4 linked regions of the Caenorhabditis elegans genome follow. The protein of the gene in region 4 interacts with the protein of the main gene of each other region in a pairwise test. Each region holds a gene or a part of one and is shown on either strand. Other genes may lie near its edges.

Region 1 (4,657 bases), on a different chromosome or scaffold from region 4:
CCCGAAACGACCGATTTCCTTTTCAACAAAAATTTAAATATTTTTATGGCGGGCCAAAGTTTCGGAAAAAAAACATTGCATTTTTTTTGCTAGAAATTAAATTTTTTGTAAATTTCAAAATTCACCTCTCCGTGCTTATCAGAGAATTGGAATGCCTTGAGCACTCTCAAAGTCTCATCAACAGATCTTCCAACTGGAAGATCGTTACAAGTAGTGTGACGGACAGTTCCAGATGGATCAATGAGGAAAAGTCCACGGTATGAGAGTCCGGATTCCTTGTCGAGCACACCGAACGAGTCGGCGATCTTCTTGTTGAAATCAGCGAGCAAAGGGATGTCCATATCACCGAGTCCTCCGTCCTTGCGTGGAGTGTTAACCCAGGCCAAGTGAGAGAAGTGAGAATCACACGAGCACGCGACAACTTCAGCTCCAAGAGAACGGAACTCGTTTGCACGATCTCCGTATGCGATGATTTCAGTTGGGCATACAAAGGTGAAGTCAAGTGGATAGAAGAACATGACGAGCCATTTTCCTTTGTAGTCTTGATCAGAAATCACCTGGAATTAATTTTTGAAAAAAATATATATATTTGTTATTTTTAACCTTGAAGTCTCCATCAACGACAGCAGTTCCTTTGAAAGCTGGGACAGTATTTTTTGGTCCAAGTGGACGAAGTGACAAAAGAGCACGAGATGTGCTCAACTGGCGGGTGGCAACAGTAGGAACCGTGCGGCAAAGAGCTCGAACAGCAGAAGAAAACATCTGCAAAACTCAGATATTCAGAAATCTTTTTTTCCAGAATTTGATCTACGAAACAATTGAAGATATCAAATCGTTCCAAACTGGTTAACGATAAAAAGAAAATAGCAACAGCAGATAATTGAAAAATGGTCATTTTATTCACTGTTATTGCATGTGTCACATAGATAACAAAAATCGCAAAATTGAGAAGAGCGAGCGAGTTGAGACCAAATAGATATTTAAAATTTCGAATGGTAAATTGGGAAAGAGGACAAAAAATAAATAGAAAAGGAAAAACTTAACAGTGACGTGTAAAAAAACATAAAACGTGGATTGGAGAGGACAATTAAGTACGTGGTTTTCAGCGCTTTCCAGAAGTCTTCTTTCCCTTGACGAAGCACCAATCGACTTTGACATTCTGGCCGAGAAGATCTGTATCGTTGCTCTGATCAATAGCTTCGTTGGCTTCCTGGAAAATAAATAATTTATATTGATACCAGCCGTGGACCGCACCTCCGGCGCGGCCCCCCACTTCTGGGGCTGAAAACTAATTTTTCTGAAACTACCGTAACCCTACAGTATTCCTACCGTACCACTATTGTACCACTACAGTACCCCGACTATATCCCTACACTAACCCCAACTCACTATCCCCACAGAAGCCAAAACTTCACAGACTACAAAGACTACATAGACTACAAACTATGGACACACAGAATAAGCGCTTTATATATAGTAAATGATTTCGATAGAAACGACGACTGCTAAAATATTACCTTCTGCGTTTCGTACTCCACCAGTGCGTATCCCTTCAAAAAACCGGTTCGTCTGTCGAGATTCAAATGAATGTTCTTAATTTTTCCGTACTCGGAAAACTTGTCATGAACATCATCTTCTGTTGCCTCTTCGTGAATGTTTGTCACGAAGACAATCCATCCTTCAACGGATCTTTGTGGTGCTCCGCTTGTGGCAGACGACTCTTCATCGACCACGTCGTAGGTGATCCTCTCGCGATTGCGACTCTAGAAAAATATATTATTGATTATTGATTACAAAATTCGACAAAATTTACCTGCGCAAGTCCTCGACCTCTTGATCTCTCGGCGTTGGCCACCACATCCTCCATCTCTACTTCGTTGTCGCTCATTTTTCTCTTCAAGCGATTGAGACGATCGGGCTCTGAAATTTTATTTATTTATATTTTCAGTTAGATCATTCAGTTTGAAAACCGCCACAAGTTCCTATTGGAAAGAGCAGTTTACACGAGAAAATGTAGAGAAAAGATCGAGGAAAGAATAAATTAAAAGAAAGTGCACATTAAAAATATTGAGATAAAATGGTTAAAATTCGTTAAATACAGGTTGATTTCGTAGAGATCAGTAGATACTTCAATAGTTGAATCCACCGCCAACAAGACGACGCATTCTTCTCGTGTTTCTGTCTTGATCACGCATCTTCTTTTCGATTTCAGCGTCGGTTAAAGTTTCGAGGAATGGACCCCAAGATTCGACTTCAGATGATGTTCTGAATAGCATTGGTTTGCAAAAATTCATTATTTCATATCAAATTTACCTGAACGGGCAATCAACAGTGGCCAGTGGGCTTTCTGAAAACGCATATGTTCTTTGATTCCATTGTAACTGTCCGCGAATTGAATATGCAATTCCTGACATAAATTCACCACCGAGGCCAAGCTCTTTGCAGATGTTTCGTGAAAACTCTTCCGGGCTGTTATTAGGATCCGACATATCCCACCTGAAGTTAAAATGAATTGTCAGTCTTTAGCATTTCCAACATACTCGAATTGATCAACCAAACTCTGGTTTCCAACATTAATATTCAACTTGAGAACGGCTCTCTGATCACAAATGTTCACATCCAATGGTGGCGCTTCTGTAGAAGCTTCGAGCTGCTGATTAATTGCTGCAGTAATAGCAGGCTGGAAAACTGCCAATGGTAGATCAAGATCTTCACACATAATTTCGGCAATCATCTCGGGAGTGATCATTTTCTCGTTTTTATTGAAAGTGAACGTATCGCGAAGTTTGATTCCATCCAACTCCATATCCAATCGAATTGGCACAAGATCTTCTCCTTCCTCAGCATTTTTCATCACTCGTTTCGACATTTCTAAATCTTCTGCTGAATATACTAATTCACGATGCTTCATTCTTCCTCTAGAATGAGCTATCGGACAAGAACATGGAACGGATTCGAGATGATGTGAACCGCTGGTGACTTGTTGTCCTGCCCATCCAGTTGCAGGAGTTTTAGCGACAGTTCTAGAAGCTCCTTCAGTTCTTGGAGTTGAAGGCGCTGCTCCAGCCGCTCGGTACTTTTCTTCGGAACCATCGAGAAGCTCATCTACTTCATGCGCTCTCAGCAGCCTGTAAAATACTTGCCGAATGAAATTTGACACTTTGGTTTTTATACTCACATGATATTAGTATGCAAAAAAGCATTTGACATTGCAATTTGCTTCAGCTTGTCTTTGTCATCCGAAGTTGCAACTTTTCTCCATAATAATGGATACTTCTTGTAGAGAGTTCCACGATGGAGACGAAGATAGGCACCTATTTCAGAACCGATGTAGTATCTTTCTCCGGCTTCATCTAGACTGAAGCTCTGAGGACGTGGTCCGTAAGTTTGAGACAACGTTTTCGTGCTGCTCGACATTACCTGAAACATAATACGAATATGTCAAGAACTGGGAGTAAAATGCGACGAAACGGATAATTTCAAATAGCAGTGGTTGTAAACGCTATTCTAATAGAAAAACAATAAATTATGATAGTAATTCAAATGATTTAAGCTGAAACAAATTATATATTTCAAGAAAAAAACATGAAAAACATGAAAACAGAAGCGAATACCGTTCAAAATTCGAGTAATAAATTCTGTTCTACGCGAAGCGTGCCGCGTGCGTATCTCAAGGGGGCGCAATTGCACACTACCAAATTTCGGCAACTAAAATTGGAATTACCATGGAAACGAAGGAATTGAAGAGAAAGGGGTCATGGAAAAATGTGTTCCTAGCAATATATACGTTTTAGATGAAATTTATTATTATCTGCAACTGGTTACTTTTTCTTCTATGTTATAAATGGCTTGGTAATTGGGAAATTCCAATTAACCTGGGGTATGTACATATTTCGGATTCTAAAAAAACGGTTTATTTCTTCTAGATTTGATCCGTTTCGCGTAGTTGGAGGTTTTCCTACTCTTGTTGATTCTTTCTTTCAAGATTTTTTTGAAAAACCAACAGATAGCTCGAAAACTTCAACATTTCCTCTTGATGATCTACAGTACCCAGTTGTAACACCTCAGTTGGCCCGGTATCACAATAATTGTTTTTTGACAGAAAAATTAATAGAATTTCAGTAAAATGAAATGGAATTGTTCAATAATTCAATCTTCGGATAAATGTTTCACTGTTATCAAATCATCGGAGTGTCTAGCTTCTACTCAATTTTCTTATAACTTTTGGGAAAATTCTGAAGAAATGTCTGAATGTTTTCATAAATCCAAGGGAAATATGGAATGTAGAATACCTTTTCAAAATGGAAATATCTGTGAAAATGTGGTTGTTGGAATTCAAAAAAGTGGGAATAGTTCGATTTTCATAGAATTAGATGATATAATGGTAAGTTTTGATATTATTTCGGCATTCTAAAGATGTAGTATTTTCAGATTAATACTCAAATATTTCAAAACTATGCAGAAACTAAACACAGACTTCCAAATAACAAAATATCGGAAAATTCGACCAGAGAAGATTTTTATTTTGAGAATTCAGATTTTTGCCAAAACTACAGTATACATGAGTTGGTTTTGATTAGTGGAGAGAATAATACAGGTAAGTTGAAAAAAATATTTTTAAATTTTAATTGTTGAAACTATTCAGATATATATCCCT
Region 2 (5,270 bases), on a different chromosome or scaffold from region 4:
TGAATTTCACCGCGTTTATTCCAGAAATATTACAGAAATTGCAAGATTGATCCTTGTAGCATATGTGAGTTCTAGTTTAGTTAAAAATTCTGGCAGCCTCATTTCCAGTCCCGCCTATAATAAGTTATTTTTAGGATGAAAACAACAATTTTCGTTGGAAAAACTTATCGTACTGTTTCATAGGAGCCATAATTTTGAACAGTCTCTACTCAATAATTATTTATTGTGCGTTAAAAATGCGACACAACTTATTGAAACAATTGGAACATGTCTCACCGGAATATCGAAAACTTGAAAATCAGTTTTTCAAAACAATAATAATACAAATCGCCCTTCCAACTATCTTCCTAACATTCCCAATGATGATATTATTGAGCACGCCTATTCTGAATCTTGAAGTCAGTTTTAATTCGAGTATTTATCATTGGGGAATCAGTTTTTATCCGTCACTGGACAGTATTGCTGTCATGCTTATTGTTTCTGAATATAAAGTGTGCATTAGAAGTTAGCCCTTTGGTGAAATATTTTATAATTTAAATTATTTTCAGAAATTTTCAAATGTTCTAACACAGTCGACACCACTAATCAAACTTCGTTAACAAATTTTGCCTGAATGTATTTCGTTCAGGTTTTTTGTTTAGAAAATACATGTTGATTATCATGTGCAAATGATGTTAATTATTTGCCTTTTTATTGAAGTCCGTATCACGTCAACTTTAAGCTTGGCCCGTTTTACCACTGTTGTTATTCCAAGAACCAATCAATCTTAACTTTGCAAAATTAGTTCCTTATGTAAATCGATAGAATAAAATGTATTTCTCAACATACGAAAATTCTAGTACGTAATGCCAAATCTTCAAAAGTTAAATCTCTAAAAACGGCCACTACCGGCACTATGTGCAGTTATTTATTAAAAAACTTTAATTAATAATTTTTTAATGAAATGATATTTATTATCAAAATAAGAAATTTAAAACTTCAAAATAAAAGCTGAATAAACCCAGAAAATCCATTATCCACAAAAAAGTATTATGAATCCATAACATCTTCAATTATTTGCACGATATTATCCTTTGGTGTTTTTGCAACAAGCGGTGCAATATATAATAGATGTAGATCTTTTTGCATTCTTTGCTGTCGTTCCAAAACATCAATTATTCCAATTAAATCAGTGAAACGGCTTGGACCATTTCCAATGTTTCGAATACAATGATCGAGTAGAGCTTCAGAGTACTTCTGTCGTTCCTCGGCCAACAGAAGCTGTGCATGCTTGGAAAGATCAGGAACGGCTGAAACAATCAATAACTAGTCATACAAGTAATGGAAAATTGTTACCTGGATTGCATAGGCAAATAGCTTTTAGTAAGACATACTCAATTTGTTGAACTTGATACCGTATTAGTGGAATAATTGACATGACATTGCTTGAATAATATTCTTGACTGAAATTCAGGTGGTATTAGAAGTTAGATTACTTCTGCCTTACTTCCTGTGCATTTGAAGGGTTCCATCTGGATGTACTGCAGTGTCATATTTTTTTGAAACGGACGAAAATGAAACTAGTAGATTCACACATGCCAGTGTTGTATATCTGATCAGAATAAGTTGATCTCTTGGTAGAAGCTCATGGAAAAACATGAAAGTTTTGGCGTATTCTATTGTTGCAAGCATGTTAAAATAGAGCCAATGCTTTCTGAATTACTCGTTCTTAACTGTAAGTTTTTTCCCAATTTATGTGATGTGACTTACTTTTTTGGAGAGTAAGGAGGTGGTCCACCTATAACTAATTTTTCGTGTGATAAAGGCGGAGGACGGGATGGGGACAGATTGTTATCGAGAAGAGGCCATCCGGGCATTGGCTAAAAAATCATTTTTCAGACGAATATGCGCGACTTTAAATACCCCAAACTTGTCTGCCAAACTGATTCGATTTGTACTATTCAACACAAATTCCAATCCGCGAACTTCGGCCCAATGTGGATTGTAAGAAGATGCTCGAAATTGATCCAACTTTAATTCAAGGTACGTCAACATGTCAGCGATTTTTTGAATTTTGTTTTCCATCGATTCCAAACTGTTCAAGACCAATTGCTTTTCATTTACAGCATCGTTGCCTATCATGTTTTTACGTTTGGTTACTTCTTTCAAACAATCTGTGTTCGTTTTATCTACTTCTAACGCGTGAGGATTCATCCCAACTGCAAAACATTTGTTGATTCGACATGCTCGACATTTAACAGGAACATCTGGAAACTGATTGATTTTCTAATAACTTCATTTCCTTGCAAACCTCTAGTTGATAAATCAAAACAATCATCATTAAGTTTGCAAGTGAACAATCGTTTTGAAATTACATATCTTCTAAAAAAAGTTTTACATCCATTACATGCAGGTACATCGTAATGATATCCGGACGCTGAGCCACCACAAACGAAGCAATCTTTTGGTCGTTCAGCATAAACTTTTAGTTGTGGAATGATCTGGAAAGCAACTGATTTGACTTTTAGATATTAATGGTGTCTCGAACATTTTTTTTTTGTCTCAGAATCTGCCAGTTTTGGCAAATACTGCGAATTTACTTCATAATAATACTTGTCTTGTCAGGTATAATACTTGTCAGGTACTTGAGAAAATATAGTATTTAATCACAAAAACTTGGTTCAACATTTCATTAGGATGCTTATGCTACAAAATTGCAGGTGTATGAAATTACCTCAGGAAGGTCAACAGGACTATTGGAACAACTAGGTTCGTCCATGTGATGTTCTGCAAAAAATGTGATAATAAAAACAAAAATAGAGCCATATGAAATATTTTTTGGAAAATCAGCCATGATGTTTCTATTAAAAAATGAAACAAAACACAACAAAATAATTTATTGAGATCACAAAATGTACTCGAAAATTGTCAAAGAAATCATAGTCAAGAATAGCTAATTCAGAGAATCAAATTAAGTAAATTGGCTTTAAATAAAAACTAAAAATTCATAATATCATCTACTAACAACATTTTATCCTTTTGAGGAATTTTGGAAACAAATGGTGCAACGTGTAACAGGTGTAAATCTTTCTGCATTCTTTGTTGACGCTCCAGTAGGTCGACCATTCCAATCAGCTCAGCAAACTGACTCGGCCCGTCTTTTCTGTTTCGGAGGCAATGATCAAATAGAGCGTCGGCGTACTGTTCACGTTCCCTGCCAAGAATTTCTTGGGCGTGTTGCGAGAGGTCAGGCACCGCTAAAAAGTGAAATTTTCCGTTTCTCGCAGAGTGTTTTAGTAATCTTTTTATTGAAAACTACTTTTTGCCGTAATTTATTTTTTAGATTCGGTACCATATTTCTGACCAGATTCGGAAAAGTATTTGGCGATGTAAAGTTTCTAGTTGAAAAACATGTTGAAAACAATGGAAAAAGGTTTAGATAAAGGTTTCAGAAGTTGCTGGGAAAGTTTTCTAAAAAATTATGGAAAGATTTTGCAAAGAAATTGCAAAATTGAACTTAGAAACATAATGGCAAAACTACAGAACTTATTTGAGACACTTCTAATAGTTTGCCAACATTCGTCCGAAAGTTTTCATCGAATGCCGGATAGCTTACCTGGATTACATAAACATATTGCTTTTAGCAAAACAAACTCCGTTTCCTGGATTTCACATCTTATTAATGGAGCAATTGACATAACTGTCTCCGCGTAAACCATTCCTCTGAAAGGTTAAAAATTGATTTTGCAAATATTTTCTTTGCAAACTCACTTCTTCATTGGTGCCAGTTTCCCATCTGGATGAATAATTGTATCATATTTTTTAGCAACAGTAAAATAAGAAATGTGTAAATTCATTAGAGCCAATGCAACATATCTCATCAAAACTAATCTGTCTCTTGAATCAAGTTGATGAAAAAACATAAATGTTTTTGCATATTCTATGGATACCATCAAATCGTAGAGGATCCAACATTTCTGATCAGGGGAATATGCTGGGCCAGTTGGTTTTTTACCAAACTCCGGAATTTTCGGAGGACTCGATTGAGTTTTCAACGGCCACCCGGGCATTGGCTGAAAGTAAAGTATACAAATTAACCTATGTTGACAAAAACATACTCCAGATCTATCAGCAAGGCTAATTTTATTCTCTAACAAAAGAAATGCTTCTAGTCCGGGTAATGTGCTCCAGTGGGGATTGTATGCCGACATTCGGAATTTTGTTACCTTCCTTTCCAAATAGTTAAGCATATCCACCAGTTTTTGCATTTTATTTTCAATGCATGCAACATCCTTGATTACTTGTTTTTTCTCGATTTGATGCTCAATATCTTCGCCACTATCATCGTCTGGATCTTTTGGGTTTGACTGATTTACTCTCTTTTTCAATTTTTTAAAGTTTTCAGCTGTCGCTTCTTTTTCGTCAAGTAGCATTGCATTTGGATTCATTCCTTCTGATATACACTTCTCATAACGACATGCTCGACATTTCAGTGGAACTTTTCTTTTTGTCAAGTTAAAACAGTCCCCGCCGGCTTTGCAAATAAAACTTTTTTCCGAGACGCACAATCTTCTAAAGAAAGTTTTGCATCCATTACAGGATGGTACATCGTAGTGGTATCCATTTGCAGTTTTTCCACAAATTGAACATTCGGATGGTCTCTGGTGACGTTGACGTGCTGGGGATTCCGATCTTGCTGTGCGGTTGGGCTCTTTTTGAATTATTGATGGAAGCTGTAACACGATAATTTTTGAAATGGGCATGGAACCTGAACGTGAACAAGTAACATTTCAATTTTTTTTTTCCAAATTTCTTATAAAATTAAAGGACTAATAATCCGCTTTTCAAGCGCTATGCACTCGGATCTGGCAGACAGGAACACTGCTCTGTTTTCAAAAAAAACCCGTCAGAAATATGTGCATCAAAATAAGTAAATTAAAAATTCAAATTAAAAAAACAACTTTTCACTAGAACATTTTTTACGTTTCTTATTTTCAAAGATTATTTTTAAAGTTTCCGAGAACTGAACTTTAAAAACTTTCAAAAATGCATTCATTTCTGTTTATTCTGTTTCTGAACTTCAGACCCTACCTCAGGAAAATCAAAATCTATAGAATCCACACTTGAAACCTTTGAACAACCAGGCGGCTCCATCTTGTACCTGCAAAAACGAAAAGTTTTGTTCCTGTACATGAAAATTAAAATAATTGGGTCGGTAGAATAGAAGGACAAAACAAAGGAGACTAGTGGTAGAACATGATGTCCTCTCGGAGAGATTCGACGTCACACCT
Region 3 (6,615 bases), on a different chromosome or scaffold from region 4:
TACATTGTTTTTAGTGGTTATTTCCCTAATTGCCATACCATTTAGACTTCGTGCACTGAAGCTTGTTGCATCGAGGAAAACGATTGAAATACAAAAAATGTTTTTTGTCAGTGTTGTGATTCAAGCAGTTATAAATTCTTTGTTCTTCATATTTCCAGTTTCGGATTTTCTAAAATTAGCATTCAATCGGAATCAATCGGAGATGAATGTAAGTTATTTTCTAGATCAGCCGTTAACATGCTCGATTTCAGATAAATTCGCATTCGTATATATATTGATCCCGTATCATGGAACTGTATCAACATTGGCAATGATTTGCTCAACAAGGCCTGTACGAGAGAAAATAATACTGCGATGGGATTACAGAGGGAAGGGAAGTAAGGTTGCGATAAATAAATAAGATTTCGAGAACATTCGGTTAAGATGTGATAAGCTACGTTGAAAATGATAATATCCTCCGTCTATGTTTATATCATATTTTATGTCAAGTTTATTATGAGAGCCGATCTTATAATAAGATTTTCTGCCTCCTAGAGGCGTTCAAAAATTGCGTATGCCACCCATGTTTCAGGGGACATCGCGGGCAATTGGGAAAAGTTTTCAACCAGCAATAAACGCACCTCGGCAAAGCCTCATTGGTCACGTTATCGCCCCAGCGCAAAGCTAAAGATAGAGTACACTCGAGTTTGCACCATTTACTGAATGAACGGGCACTTGACGGTTTCCGCGCGTTGCCATAAATAGTGTAAACATGGGCGGAGTAGAATCAATAATATTACTAGTGACGTCGTTCTTCTGTTGTAACTGTATATTTGAGACTTCATATTTAAAGTGAACTTATGTAGCGAGTATAATTTAATCATGAATATTTATCAAACATGTCTAAATGAGATATTATATTCATCAATCCCTTCTTCGTTGAACGCCATGACAATTGTTGGAGTTTGACTGGATCTATGAAGTTTCTTCACAACATAAACGTGGACTTGTCAACCGTGGATCTTCATTTGTTTTTATTTCAACACCACCCCGAATACATCCAGGCAAACACTTTCCTTCTACAAACTTCTCCACTCGAATTTGTGTTGTTTTGTTAGCTGGGGCCTAAATTTAATTTTAATTTAAAACAATTCACTCAGAGAAAAAATGTACCATAATCCACAAAAACTGATATATGAAATCAACTTGCGGAAGTTTCTGATTATTTTCCAAATATCTATATCCAGCGTCTAAAGAAATTGTGACATTCTGCCAAGTTTCAGTTGCTTGAAAAGTTGCACCTGGCTCGGCGCGTTGACTACAATCAGCTCCGCCAAATCCATATGGACAATTACATTGTGAACAATTTGAAGGATTTGGGTATCCATGGTTCTTACACGATAGATTATTTGCACAAGAACATTCATAGTACTTGTTGATCATTAGGTAGTCGTAGAAAGCTACTATTGCAGATCCCATGGTATTTGCCATTGTACGGTATTTTCTTACTGGGTAATATTCCTCGTCTCTAAAATTTTTCTACGTTTTGTTTTCATATGAATTTGAGGCATTGACAAGAATTTTAAATTTAATTCTTCTCGGTAAAACGTTGCAACTTCATAGCACACTCTTGCAACTTCTTAGCAAACTTCTGCAACTTAATAAAAACAATTATAAGAAGTTGCAAAAAGCTGCTATGAAGTTGCAGAACTCTGTCACGAAGTTGCTGCAGATTGCATTAGGTTGCATATAAAACGCTCATATTTGCTGAAAATTACTCTGTATAAATGTTTTCTATTCATTATAACTCTAACTTCGGTTAAATTTTCATTTTTCCGGTAATTAACAAAACAAAATAAATTAACAAATATAACAAATTAACAAAAAACATGATTAACGCATTGTTTGGGGTCGCAAAATTTGAAATTCATTTTGACATCATATCCTCCACAGTCGCCAGGCTAGGGTCTTTGAAATTCTTCTTGCACTGAGCTCGATATTTTCGCATCTGCTCCCATTTTAAATGTCCTTTGCAAGAGTTTCTCATTGGACACCTCTCAATCTTCTCGGTCGTCACATCATAATGATATGTGCGAAGATTCGCCCTACAAAAATGCTCCTATTTAGATATGAGGCTTCAATATAAGGTACTCACATTGCTCTTGAAAGAGCATGACTGAACTGCCTCAATGCCAACGGTCTTTCCCTTCGTCGTCGCAGAATTTCCTTCGATTTTTCTGCATCCTCGACTTCAATTGATGCGACGAACCTGTAAACGTAGTTGAATTTTGAATTTATTTTTAGATGTGAATCTAGTTAACTCACTCATCGTTCAGATCAATTCTTCCTGTCAATAGGGTTTGAGGCAGGTACAATCCAGAAATGTCCAGAGAGAGATCTGAAAGCTGCTGTTTAAAACTTCATTCAAGTAAACATATATACCTTTAATAATATTGATAAGTCCACTTGGAAGCTCCTTGAAATGTTTGTCAGTACGACGGCACAATTTTGGTCTGTATGTGTAGCAGCAGATGTTATATACCGAACATTTCGAACAATTCCTGTGGTTCTGATTCTTCGCATATTTGGCTAGAATCTTCTTGGTCTTCATCCTCTTCATTATGATGAACAGAAAACACTTCACGGTCTCCAGTGATGCTTTCTTCTTCTGATTCATTACATTCAATAGGCATATCGTCATCAAAATCATTTGTGTCCTCCGGAATTTTCGGGTTGTGTATGTTGTTTTCTCCCTCAGCGCGTGTAATAAACAAGTGTCTCCATTCGTCTTCTAAAAATATTTCAATAAAAACAATAACTATTTTATTTCGATGAATACTTACGGAGAGCTTTCATTGATACCCTTTCCGCACGTGGCATTGACTCTCTGTATGGATACTTGGCGCTTGACTCGTCTTCCATCTGTAAAAAAAATAAAAATTTGTGTGGAGAAATAAATTTGTGAAAAAAGTATTGAAAATAAATCAGAAAAACCGAAAAATCTGCAAATAATCCATGAAAATAGGAAAAACAATTCGAATACAAACCTAGCCGCAACGCATTCTTCGGCGCGTGCTCGCGTGTTTAAAGTCTGCAGGAATCTGCAGAACTTTGCAGGAGCTGTCTGAATAGCAGCGTGTGCGTCGCCAGAAGAAATTTAATTGTATCTTTGCGAAGAAGTTGCAACAGTCTTATGAGAAGATGCAGGGGTTTGTTAAGAAGTTAAAACATGAAAAGATGGCTAAGAAGTTGCAAAAGTGTGCTATGAAGTTGCAACGTTTTACCGAGTTCGGAAAAAAACTATATTAAAAGACCATCAGTTTGGAAAATGTCCCAAAATGCCCAAAAACTTTTCAGATTTTTTTTTTGAAAATTAGAATTAGAATTTGAACTTGAGGAAAATTAGAAGTTTCTAAACAAATAACACATTTTTTAAACATTTGTGAAACATAAGTGGATTTAGGCTAGATTCCCGACTTACTCTTCATTTGGATATTGCATGACACTCCCAACATCATATGGAACAAGTATCTCTTGATATTCCCAAATTTTGTATTGTTCCTGATAAGTTTGGTTTAATTCATCGAGATTTTTCTTGAATTCGAGATACTGATCTCTATCGGATCTCTGATGTGCATGAATAAATCCCAAACTGTGAATAAGTTCATGAACGGCAACACCAGCAGAATAGCAGTCTGAGTTGAAACTAAAAAGTTGATTCTCTCGGACCTGACCAATTTCTGCATAACATGCGATTGTCGTGGAATCACTTTCCATTCGAATTGATTTTTCAGATGGTTCTGTTGAGAATTTAATGCAGGTATGATTGGATATCAATTCCATTGCACGAAGTATTGACTCTTTCACAGTGAAATCTTAATTAATTTGAGAAATAATTTGCATCACATGAACACTAACCGAAATTTTCTTCATAAAAATAATAATGTACTGTATTGTTGAACCATTTATGTCGTCGCTCTTCATCTGACCCACGAATCAATACTTGTCTCCTATGACGGGCTCCACCAATTTTTTCGGCGACATTTCTTCCACCAATTCTTGCAACAATATCCTTTCCATAGCACTCTTGTAAAATTGAGAGAAGAATAAAAAACGACTTCATTTTTCTGTCTACAAGGACTGTGCTTGCAATTGTGCTTTTATATACATTCAAATGACAATACAGTAGTTCTTTTGTAAGTCAAAAATAATAAAACACCAATTGTACGTACACAAAGACTATTTGAGAAACTATGAAATCGGAAGGGAGTGTTTCGATGATTGTTTTTTTTTCAATCATTTTTGGAGAGCAGACAAGTGGCAAATTATATGTAACGCGTTTTTATACTGTAAATGATAGTTGACTAAATATACTGTGATTAAATGAAAGTAAATGAAAAAAGTAAATGATATACTGAATGGAATGGAAAACAAAACAAATTTAAATAACAGGCCTGTGTGGTACTTCCGGCAACTAGGCATCAGAGCTTCACAGAATTGGTTTACTTAATCTAACAATGAGCTGCAATCAAATACCGACAATTTTTCTCAATTTTTGGATGCTCTTAAAGTCGAATTTTTTCAAAGTTTCCCCAACATTTCAAGACCTTTAAAGTTGAAAGTGGTGATTTAGCCTGACACATTTAAAGTCTTCAAAAAATTTCCAGATTTTCGAAGTTATCAGCCAATGTTTTGACAAAATGCCAAAATCTCCAAAAAATATAGTCTATTTGAATAATTTTCGAATGTTTCAATTATAATTATTGAAGCTCAATTAAAATGGAAGAATATAATAAAACAATTTTTTTTGGTCGACTTTCAAAATTATGATAAACGTGTCAAAACCTTCGATTGTATTGTGAATTTAAAATTTATTCTTCAGAAATTTCATGCAAAAAATCACAAAAAGCCTGGAAGTAAAAATAGAATTTATCTCAATCCGTAAATCTGTAGAAAATGTTATATTTATCAAGTCCTTCTGAGTTAAATGCCATAACAATTGTTGGATTGTTTCGTGATTTGTATATTTCATTATCATTCTTGCAGCACAGTCTCGGACTAGTCATTCGTCGATCTTCGTGAGTTTTAACTTCAATTCCACCAATGTAACAACCATAATTGCATTCTACTCCAGTAATCTCTCGAATATCGACTTCGATAGTCTTATTAGCTGGTGCCTGTAATTTCTAATGAATTTGTATGTAAGTGATAATAATTTACATACGGAAATAGAAAGATAACGGAATACGAAATCTATTTGGTGAAGTTTGGTTCCATTCTGTAATGACATATAGCCCGCATCCAAATTTAGAGTTATATTTTTCCACTCTTCAGATGATTCTACAATGACAGCTGGTTTTGCAACGTCGCTACAGTCAGCCCCCAAAACCGAGAGGACAATTGCATTCAGAACAATTTCCTGGATTTGGATACCCTCGATTCTTGCAGTTTATTTGTTCTTCCCCTTCACAAGAACATTGGTAGTATTCGTTAATCATCAGATAATCGAAATACGAAGGTATTTGCGAACCCATTGTTCGGAAGTATTTTGAATTTTTAGGCCCATATTCATTACTGGAATTTCTTAAACTTATTATTTTCTCACCAAAAACATACTTACTCAGAATCATGGTATTGCATGATACTACCATAATCATATGGTACAATCCACCATTGATCCAAATACTTTTTATACTGCATTGTTTGAAACCAATCATTCAATCTCCATGGTTGCAAGTTCAACTTAAGGTATTCGTCACGATCAGCCCTTTGATGAGAATGAAGAAAGCCAATTACATGAATCAGCTCACTTGCACTTCCAACACTATAGCAAGATGTAGGAAAACTCAAATATTGCTGATCTCCCCCAACTCGTCCAATGGCCGCTTGGCATCCTTTATCACTCACAATTCGAAGTTTTATTCGTGCATCTTTTGGAGAAAACTTGATACATGTGTGGTTAGATATTTTTTCCATTGCTCTCAGCACGGTTGCTCTCGAATTTTCATCTGAAAATGAATAACTAAAAATGCCAGAATTTGAAGTTTTACCAAAACGTTGTTCATCGAAAAAATAATTAATAGTTCCACGAGGCCATCGAGGTTCATTGTCCATGCGTAAAGCTTGACGCTTTGATCGCTCCAATCTTTTTGTTTCAGGACTACCACCGACTCTCATTACAATCTTATTTCCATTCGAAAATCGAAAATAAAAATTCAATACAGCAATATGCATAAAGAAGAAAGTAATAAAATAGTTCATTGCAAATGCGACGAATAAAAAAATCCAATGAAGTATTTTATAGTCGATGCAAGACAATATACTCCTTTATAAAGTGCATATGAATTAATACAGTATCCAAACGAGTCCCTAAAAGAATTTCTGAATTCTTTTGTTGCGCTTTTTTTTGAATTTCCATGCACAATAGACTTTTCTTAACCCGATTTGCACTTGTTTAAAACACTTAACAATGAAATAAATTATACCGAAACTGTATAAATAAGTAGTAGATTTATGTTTTCCAGAAAATTTCGAAAAAATGAAGATAACAGTTAATTTTTTGCTCGTAGCTCTGATTGGAGTCCCTTCGGTGCTTTCTGATCGTCAGTGAGTTATTAGTATTACGTCTTTCTGTGA
Region 4 (5,600 bases):
ATACGTTTGGAACCGACAAAGACCCCAAAAGATCAGGAAAACAAGAAGATGGGAAGCCGATGAAGCCATATTTTTGGAGAGTCAATGTTATTTTGTGCCTCCAGGAGTTTCAGGAAGAGGGTACAATGTTCCGAAGAGCTCGTCATGTCTGTGGTATTCGTCCTCACAAAAGTCAACCCGGACTCGATTTGTATATCGAGATTGACACAGGAAGTATGAGAGCTCTGAAGACGAATTATCTGACTGTGAGAAAATTGCCGCAGGAGTTCGCGAATGTCCCAACTCCAATCCTTGAAGTTCGATTTGAAGGTGCCAAGGTGAGCAATTTTTCTCATACACATCCAGTGTATCTTGTTTTTTCAGACCGAAGAAGATGTTGCCCGGAGAATCGCGCACATCAGGAAAACGGGTCGTGCATACATCAAATCATTTGATACAGGAAAACGGAAGATCTACCAGAACAGCTTTTTTAATGGCCAGCCAAAGGATTGGAGTAACATCGAAACAGCTGTGGTATAAATTTATATTACTCTTTTTCAAAAACGAAATCCTATTTTCAGTTGCTGCCACCAAAAGAAAGCTCAATGTCGAAGCTGTTCTGTGAGGATAGGGATTGCATGGGACTATGCTGCACAGATCAATGGCTTGAAAATGCGGAATCATCCCCGGGCATCTCCACAATTCCAGCGTCATGGATCGCCGATAAGAATAAGAAGCCATTCGTGGACAGATCTCCGCAAAAATTCAAATTTCCCGCGAGCGGCAGCTATATGAAGCCGGCCAACTAGTGCTTGATATTCAAGCTTTAATTATTTTTCATCTGTGTCATCAAACCGTATTCTAGTTTACTTGTTAAGACCCGTTGGTCCGTATTTTTGTTTCTTTTTTTTAAATATTTCAGTTTACGAATCAACAAATAAAAATTATTCATTTTCAAGAATTTGTAAATACAGGAAATCGAGGAGAAGTTAAAAGCGAGAATCTTGGATCTATGAGAATGCAGTTCACAACAGCTTCATCAGTTTCGCAACAGTTTTCAATTCAAATTCGTTATTAACCTTACATCCAATCCTGGCTCACTTGTAAGCACTTTGGCTTGAATCTCTGCACCGATGTCAAAATCCGACAGCAAAATGTCGTCAACCAAACATTCTAGCTTACAGTTGTTAAGACCTGCTAGCCGGCATTGTTATTTATGTTTCAATTTTCCAACTAACAAAAGAAAAAGATTCATTCTCAAGTATTAGTACAGGAAATCTACGGAAAAGCGAGAAAGAACGACAGGAGAAAAAAAGGGGAATACGGATGAATCATTCGGGGAGAATAAGTTTTACACCAGGATCCAGAAATTGTGATAAAAAATAGTTAATTGAGCACAAATTTGCTCAACAAGACGTTGACCGGTTAAAATAATATAAAACATGTTGTAATTGTTCCAGATATTTAGATTGGTTTACAGGCTTCTGCGAGCCATTTCAGCTCATCCGTTTTTCCGCGTTTCTGAAGATGTTCACCAACTTCCTTCAGAACCCGAGCGTGGTATTGATTGAGCCAATTGATTTCCTCTTCAATCAGAAGAGACTTGTCGACGATCGAAGTTTGAATAGGCACCAAAGTGAGAGACTGAAATTAATAAGTTTATAAAGTTCCTGGGATCTGGGTATACCTTGAATGTCAAGAAGTTCTGAGCTTTAGACATGACAACAGCTTCAACTGTTTCGTAACAGTTTTCAATTCGAATTCCGTACTTCTCCTTGGCATAGAATCCTGGCTCAATGGTAAGCACTTGGCTGGCATGAAGCTCTCCACCGGTTGGAACACTACGATGACCGATTCCGACTGAAAATAAATATTCAAACAGTTACATTTACTGTTTTCGTCTTACTCGGTCCTTCGTGTACGTTAAGGTAGTGTCCAACACCGTGTCCAGTACCATGTTCAAAATCGAGACCAAGCTTCCATAAAGCATCACGAGTCAGCGTGTCCAAACGAGAACCATAGATACCATCAGGGAACTTGGCCCGTGCCAAATTAATGTGTCCCTTCAATACAAGAGTATTGTGCAGAATGAACTCTTTCGGTGGGTTCGTGTACCACACAGTTCTCGTCACATCGGTTGTTCCATCTCCATAATGAGCTCCAGAATCGAGGAGGAACACCTGATTGGCTGCAGCCTTACGATTGCCACTTTCTCCGAGAGGCTTGTAATGGGGAAGTGCTGCGTGATCTCCGACAGCTGATATGGTATCAAAACTGAAAATAAATATAAATTAAATGTAGTTTTAAATATTTAACAAACGAACCTCAAAGTAACATATTTGTCTTGAAGACTTCTCAAATGGTCTATCTTATCAGCTAACTCGATTTCAGTGTATCTTTTTCCAGAGAGCAACTCCTTTTCGAGCCAGCAAAGGAACTCAACAAGAGCAGCACTATCACGAAGCTAGAAAGAATTAAATTATATCCTAAACGATGCTGTAGCCATTCTTACATGACTGTTTCTCATTCCTTGCATTTCATGATCGTTTTTGGTGGCCTTGGCGGTCTGAAAAAGATTAAATTTCAAAAATTTCAAGAAATTCATGGAATTACCTGAACCAGGGAAGTGTCAACCATCGAGTTCTCTTCGCCAATAATGCTTCCAATAGCGTAATTAGTTTCTGGTGTGAGATAAACCATGTGAGGCTCTTTGCTCGCTTCTTTTGCCTTGAGCCAATTGGATATCCATGAATAGACTTCTCCGTATGGATGAATCGATACATTCGATTTGTGGAAATGGGCTCGAGATTTCTCATCGAGTTTCTCATTGTCGATAAATACGTGAATCTCGCGCATTGCCACGAAGAGATATGAATATGCAAGAGGATTGTACGGGATATCACTTCCTCTAATGTTCAGAAGCCACATAACATCATCAAGAAGAGTAAATACAGCTGCGTCGCACTTTTTTTGTTTCAGCTTCTCCCGAAGATTCTCGACTTTTTTTGAAGTTGTAAGACCAGTGTCTTCAACATCGAGCACGACTACCTGAAAAGTGGAACATTAAATCCCGCAGTATAGATCTATCAACTTACTGGCTCACCAGCGAGTCTTGGCCGATCAGTCCAGAACTCGTCGACTAGATTTCCAGGAATCGAGACTGGTTGAAGACCTGCTGCCTTCAGACGTTTAAATGTCTTGGAACCAGCGTCGAACGTCGACAGAGTTGGATCAAATCCAATAACGGATCCACGCTCGAGCTCTCTCACAAGCCAATCAACGACAGTAATCGAATCGGGCTGTCCTTGTTTCATCAATTTCCAGCTGTTGGAATCAAGCTGATTCCCGGCTTGAGTGAAATATCGGCCATCAGTCCAAAGGAGAGCTTCTCTATCGGTAACAACAACGTAGGCATTGGAACCACTGAAACCAGACAGGAATTTCACTCGAAAATCGTAATCGGCTAGATATTCGCTCTGAAAATTAACATTTAGAAGATTATTTGAAGCCTAAAAACCAACATGATGAGCGTCAGTGCTTGGGAGAAGATACGCGACCATCGGCTTGCTGGAAGTGAGCGCGAGAACCCGTTCCGAATGGAACAAGGATCTCAATTTTGCGAGTTTTTCCAATGCTGTCATCACTCCAATTCTGCCCGATCTGAAAAAAAAAGAAAATTAAAGCTAAACTTGTAAAGAGAAATTTAAAAACCAAGCGTCTAATCGTCTGCACATTTTTCTCGAATTTTAGAGCTGATAACGAATAAAACCAACGACGAAATTGTCGATCAATCGTTTTAATACGCAATCACAAATGGTTTTATACATACAGAAATCAAAAATCATCTCTGAATTCTATTGAATGAAAACAACAGAGGATGTGGAAATTTTTTGAGAAGAAAACTGAAAAATAACTATTTTTGAAGTCTAAAAATGTTTTAAAATGAAAAATTAACTGCCGAATCGAGAACGAACGCTGTTCCAAAAAATGAGAAGAGTATCTACGGACTCGAGATCTCTAGACTCAAGAAGTGGAAACTTGGAAAACCGCAAAGGAAACGTTTTGAAATATCATTAAAAGACGAAAATTTCAATGAAAATGTTAATTTCACTGTGGATCATTTAAAATATTAACTTTATTCGTGTCCTGATACGAATTATCCACGCTTTTTTTCAGAAATTTTTATGACACGAGGTCTCACAGGCCTCTAATCGGTGGTGACTCGAAAGCTGAGAAGGCGCGCTCTATTGATGGGTCAAAAAAGGAGGAGATTTGAAAATGAGTTTCGCTCGAAATTCAGGTCTAGAATTTTAGAAAATAACCTTTAAAAAATACTCATAATAAATTTGTTGAACAAACTGTGAACAGCAAAACCCAAACTCGCATCGCGGTTTTTTATTTCCTCTCCAAAAATTTACGCGTGCGAAAATTAATGAATAATGAAAATTTCAGTCTGGAAATTCATTCTTTCGTATTCAAAAAAATTAAGAAAAAGAAAAATTGTTTTTTTTCAAAATCGTAATTTTTAGCACGATTACATCTGTCTGTGTGTCTACAAAATTAAAAAATAAAATTTATCAATGAAGCTCAAATGATTTCGGCGGCAAAATCTTCTTTCCAATACTTCTAGTGGATTTCGTGGAAACTGCAGACGACAGTTGTGTGCTCTCGAGTTTTCTTTTTTGAACCGTATTATCCTCCGGAACAATAAAATCTTCTTTGGCTCTTCGTGCCGCCCGTGCATTCTTCAGCAACTTCTCTTTATTCGCTTCTTCCTCTTTCTTCTTCCAGTTCTTTTCAATCTGTTCAATCTGAAAATTGGAAAATTTAATACGTCGAATAACGTATTCTATACCTTATGCGCCGATGGTGTTCTCGCAATATATCTCCTTTTCACTTTCTTACTGGTTTCAGATCGAGCAGATGGTGTCGCCGGCTTGGCTTCTTGTTTTCCCTGAATGTTTCAAATATATCTCTTGTCTACGGCACCTACCTACATGCCTATCTACCTGCCGCATGCCTGCCTAATAACGATTTATTATTAATATTGAGCTCCCCCATGCCTGCCTACGCGTTTGCATTAGAACTACACGCAACACACACTTACCTGATTCTCAGATCCCGTATGCCTATTCTGACCTCATACCTACCTGCCTAGGCGCACCTCAAAACTGCATTTCCTATGCCTGGCTTCATACATGCCTTCATTATTCATTCCCTGGTTCTAACTTAATGCCTGCCTGTCTACTTTCTGCTTGCCTAACTTTGTGCCTTCCTCATGCCTACCCCTCGTGCGCCTGCCTATAGGTCTGATCTCAACCTCATATCTGCATATCTACGTGCCTACCTCATGCCTACCTACAACAACTTTCGCCGTAAATCTCACCAAAAATCCATTTTCATCCTCAACAATCGTATCATCTTGAGCAGTATTCAGTCCCTCTTCCTCTGTCGTTTTACCAGCAGCTATAATTTCTTCCATTGTTATATTTCTCTCATTTTGCGGAACATTCAGCAACTTTGACAGATCCACTTCAGTCATGTCTTTCTCGATAACAACTGGCCTGAACATATTCAAATTATCTTAATAATATTCAAAATATTTAAAAACTTACAAAGTT

The links.
Region 1: the proteins of app-1 (region 4) and rnp-4 interact in a two-hybrid assay, tested with the Caenorhabditis elegans proteins (one large-scale study listed by BioGRID).
Region 2: the proteins of app-1 (region 4) and nhr-129 interact in a two-hybrid assay, tested with the Caenorhabditis elegans proteins (one large-scale study listed by BioGRID).
Region 3: the proteins of app-1 (region 4) and nas-22 interact in a two-hybrid assay, tested with the Caenorhabditis elegans proteins (one large-scale study listed by BioGRID).

Annotation. Positions count from the first base shown.
Region 1 is NC_003281.10:4,403,549-4,408,205, reverse strand, and holds rnp-4 (RNA-binding protein rnp-4), read right to left. Parts: upstream 1,921-4,657; 5' UTR 1,889-1,920; coding exon 1,814-1,888; intron 1,764-1,813; coding exon 1,518-1,763; intron 1,211-1,517; coding exon 1,103-1,210; 3' UTR 883-1,102; downstream 1-882. Other genes in the region: putative peroxiredoxin prdx-3, read right to left, coding at 126-557, 604-762; snfc-5 (SWI/SNF Subunit INI1 DNA binding domain-containing protein), read right to left, coding at 2,130-2,265, 2,314-2,496, 2,541-3,128, 3,179-3,417; R07E5.17 (uncharacterized protein), read left to right, coding at 3,795-3,880, 3,927-4,076, 4,123-4,384, 4,432-4,597, 4,646-4,657.
Region 2 is NC_003283.11:13,328,254-13,333,523, forward strand, and holds nhr-129 (Nuclear Hormone Receptor family), read right to left. Parts: upstream 2,767-5,270; 5' UTR 2,759-2,766; coding exon 2,714-2,758; intron 2,481-2,713; coding exon 2,291-2,480; intron 2,247-2,290; coding exon 1,903-2,246; intron 1,860-1,902; coding exon 1,750-1,859; intron 1,694-1,749; coding exon 1,487-1,693; intron 1,443-1,486; coding exon 1,336-1,442; intron 1,290-1,335; coding exon 1,030-1,289; 3' UTR 932-1,029; downstream 1-931. Other genes in the region: str-37 (Seven TM Receptor), read left to right, coding at 1-64, 135-504, 549-613; nhr-168 (Nuclear Hormone Receptor family), read right to left, coding at 2,977-3,236, 3,596-3,702, 3,751-4,052, 4,098-4,712, 5,071-5,133.
Region 3 is NC_003283.11:11,472,198-11,478,812, reverse strand, and holds nas-22 (Zinc metalloproteinase nas-22), read right to left. Parts: upstream 4,115-6,615; 5' UTR 4,103-4,114; coding exon 3,898-4,102; intron 3,855-3,897; coding exon 3,461-3,854; intron 2,876-3,460; exon of another isoform or gene 2,823-2,875; intron 2,771-2,822; exon of another isoform or gene 2,690-2,770; coding exon of another isoform or gene 2,422-2,689; intron 2,378-2,421; coding exon of another isoform or gene 2,305-2,377; intron 2,249-2,304; coding exon of another isoform or gene 2,135-2,248; intron 2,085-2,134; coding exon of another isoform or gene 1,907-2,084; intron 1,508-1,906; coding exon 1,153-1,507; intron 1,105-1,152; coding exon 955-1,104; 3' UTR 806-954; downstream 1-805. Other genes in the region: T11F9.7 (YkgJ family cysteine cluster protein), read right to left, coding at 1,907-2,084, 2,135-2,248, 2,305-2,377, 2,422-2,689; Zinc metalloproteinase-like protein nas-21, read right to left, coding at 4,914-5,156, 5,204-5,319, 5,369-5,553, 5,600-5,987, 6,030-6,240; Zinc metalloproteinase nas-20, read left to right, coding at 6,518-6,585. UniProt on the Caenorhabditis elegans protein: Metalloprotease.
Region 4 is NC_003279.8:4,963,451-4,969,050, forward strand, and holds app-1 (Xaa-Pro aminopeptidase app-1), read right to left. Parts: upstream 3,640-5,600; 5' UTR 3,621-3,639; coding exon 3,501-3,620; intron 3,456-3,500; coding exon 3,075-3,455; intron 3,028-3,074; coding exon 2,593-3,027; intron 2,546-2,592; coding exon 2,492-2,545; intron 2,444-2,491; coding exon 2,304-2,443; intron 2,254-2,303; coding exon 1,886-2,253; intron 1,840-1,885; coding exon 1,667-1,839; intron 1,624-1,666; coding exon 1,444-1,623; 3' UTR 1,217-1,443; downstream 1-1,216. Other genes in the region: Protein pid-4, read left to right, coding at 1-317, 364-513, 561-788; W03G9.5 (Protein kinase domain-containing protein), read right to left, coding at 4,557-4,790, 4,835-4,933, 5,366-5,543, 5,595-5,600. UniProt on the Caenorhabditis elegans protein: Catalyzes the removal of a penultimate prolyl residue from the N-termini of peptides, such as Arg-Pro-Pro. Has activity towards the flp-9 neuropeptide KPSFVRF-amide.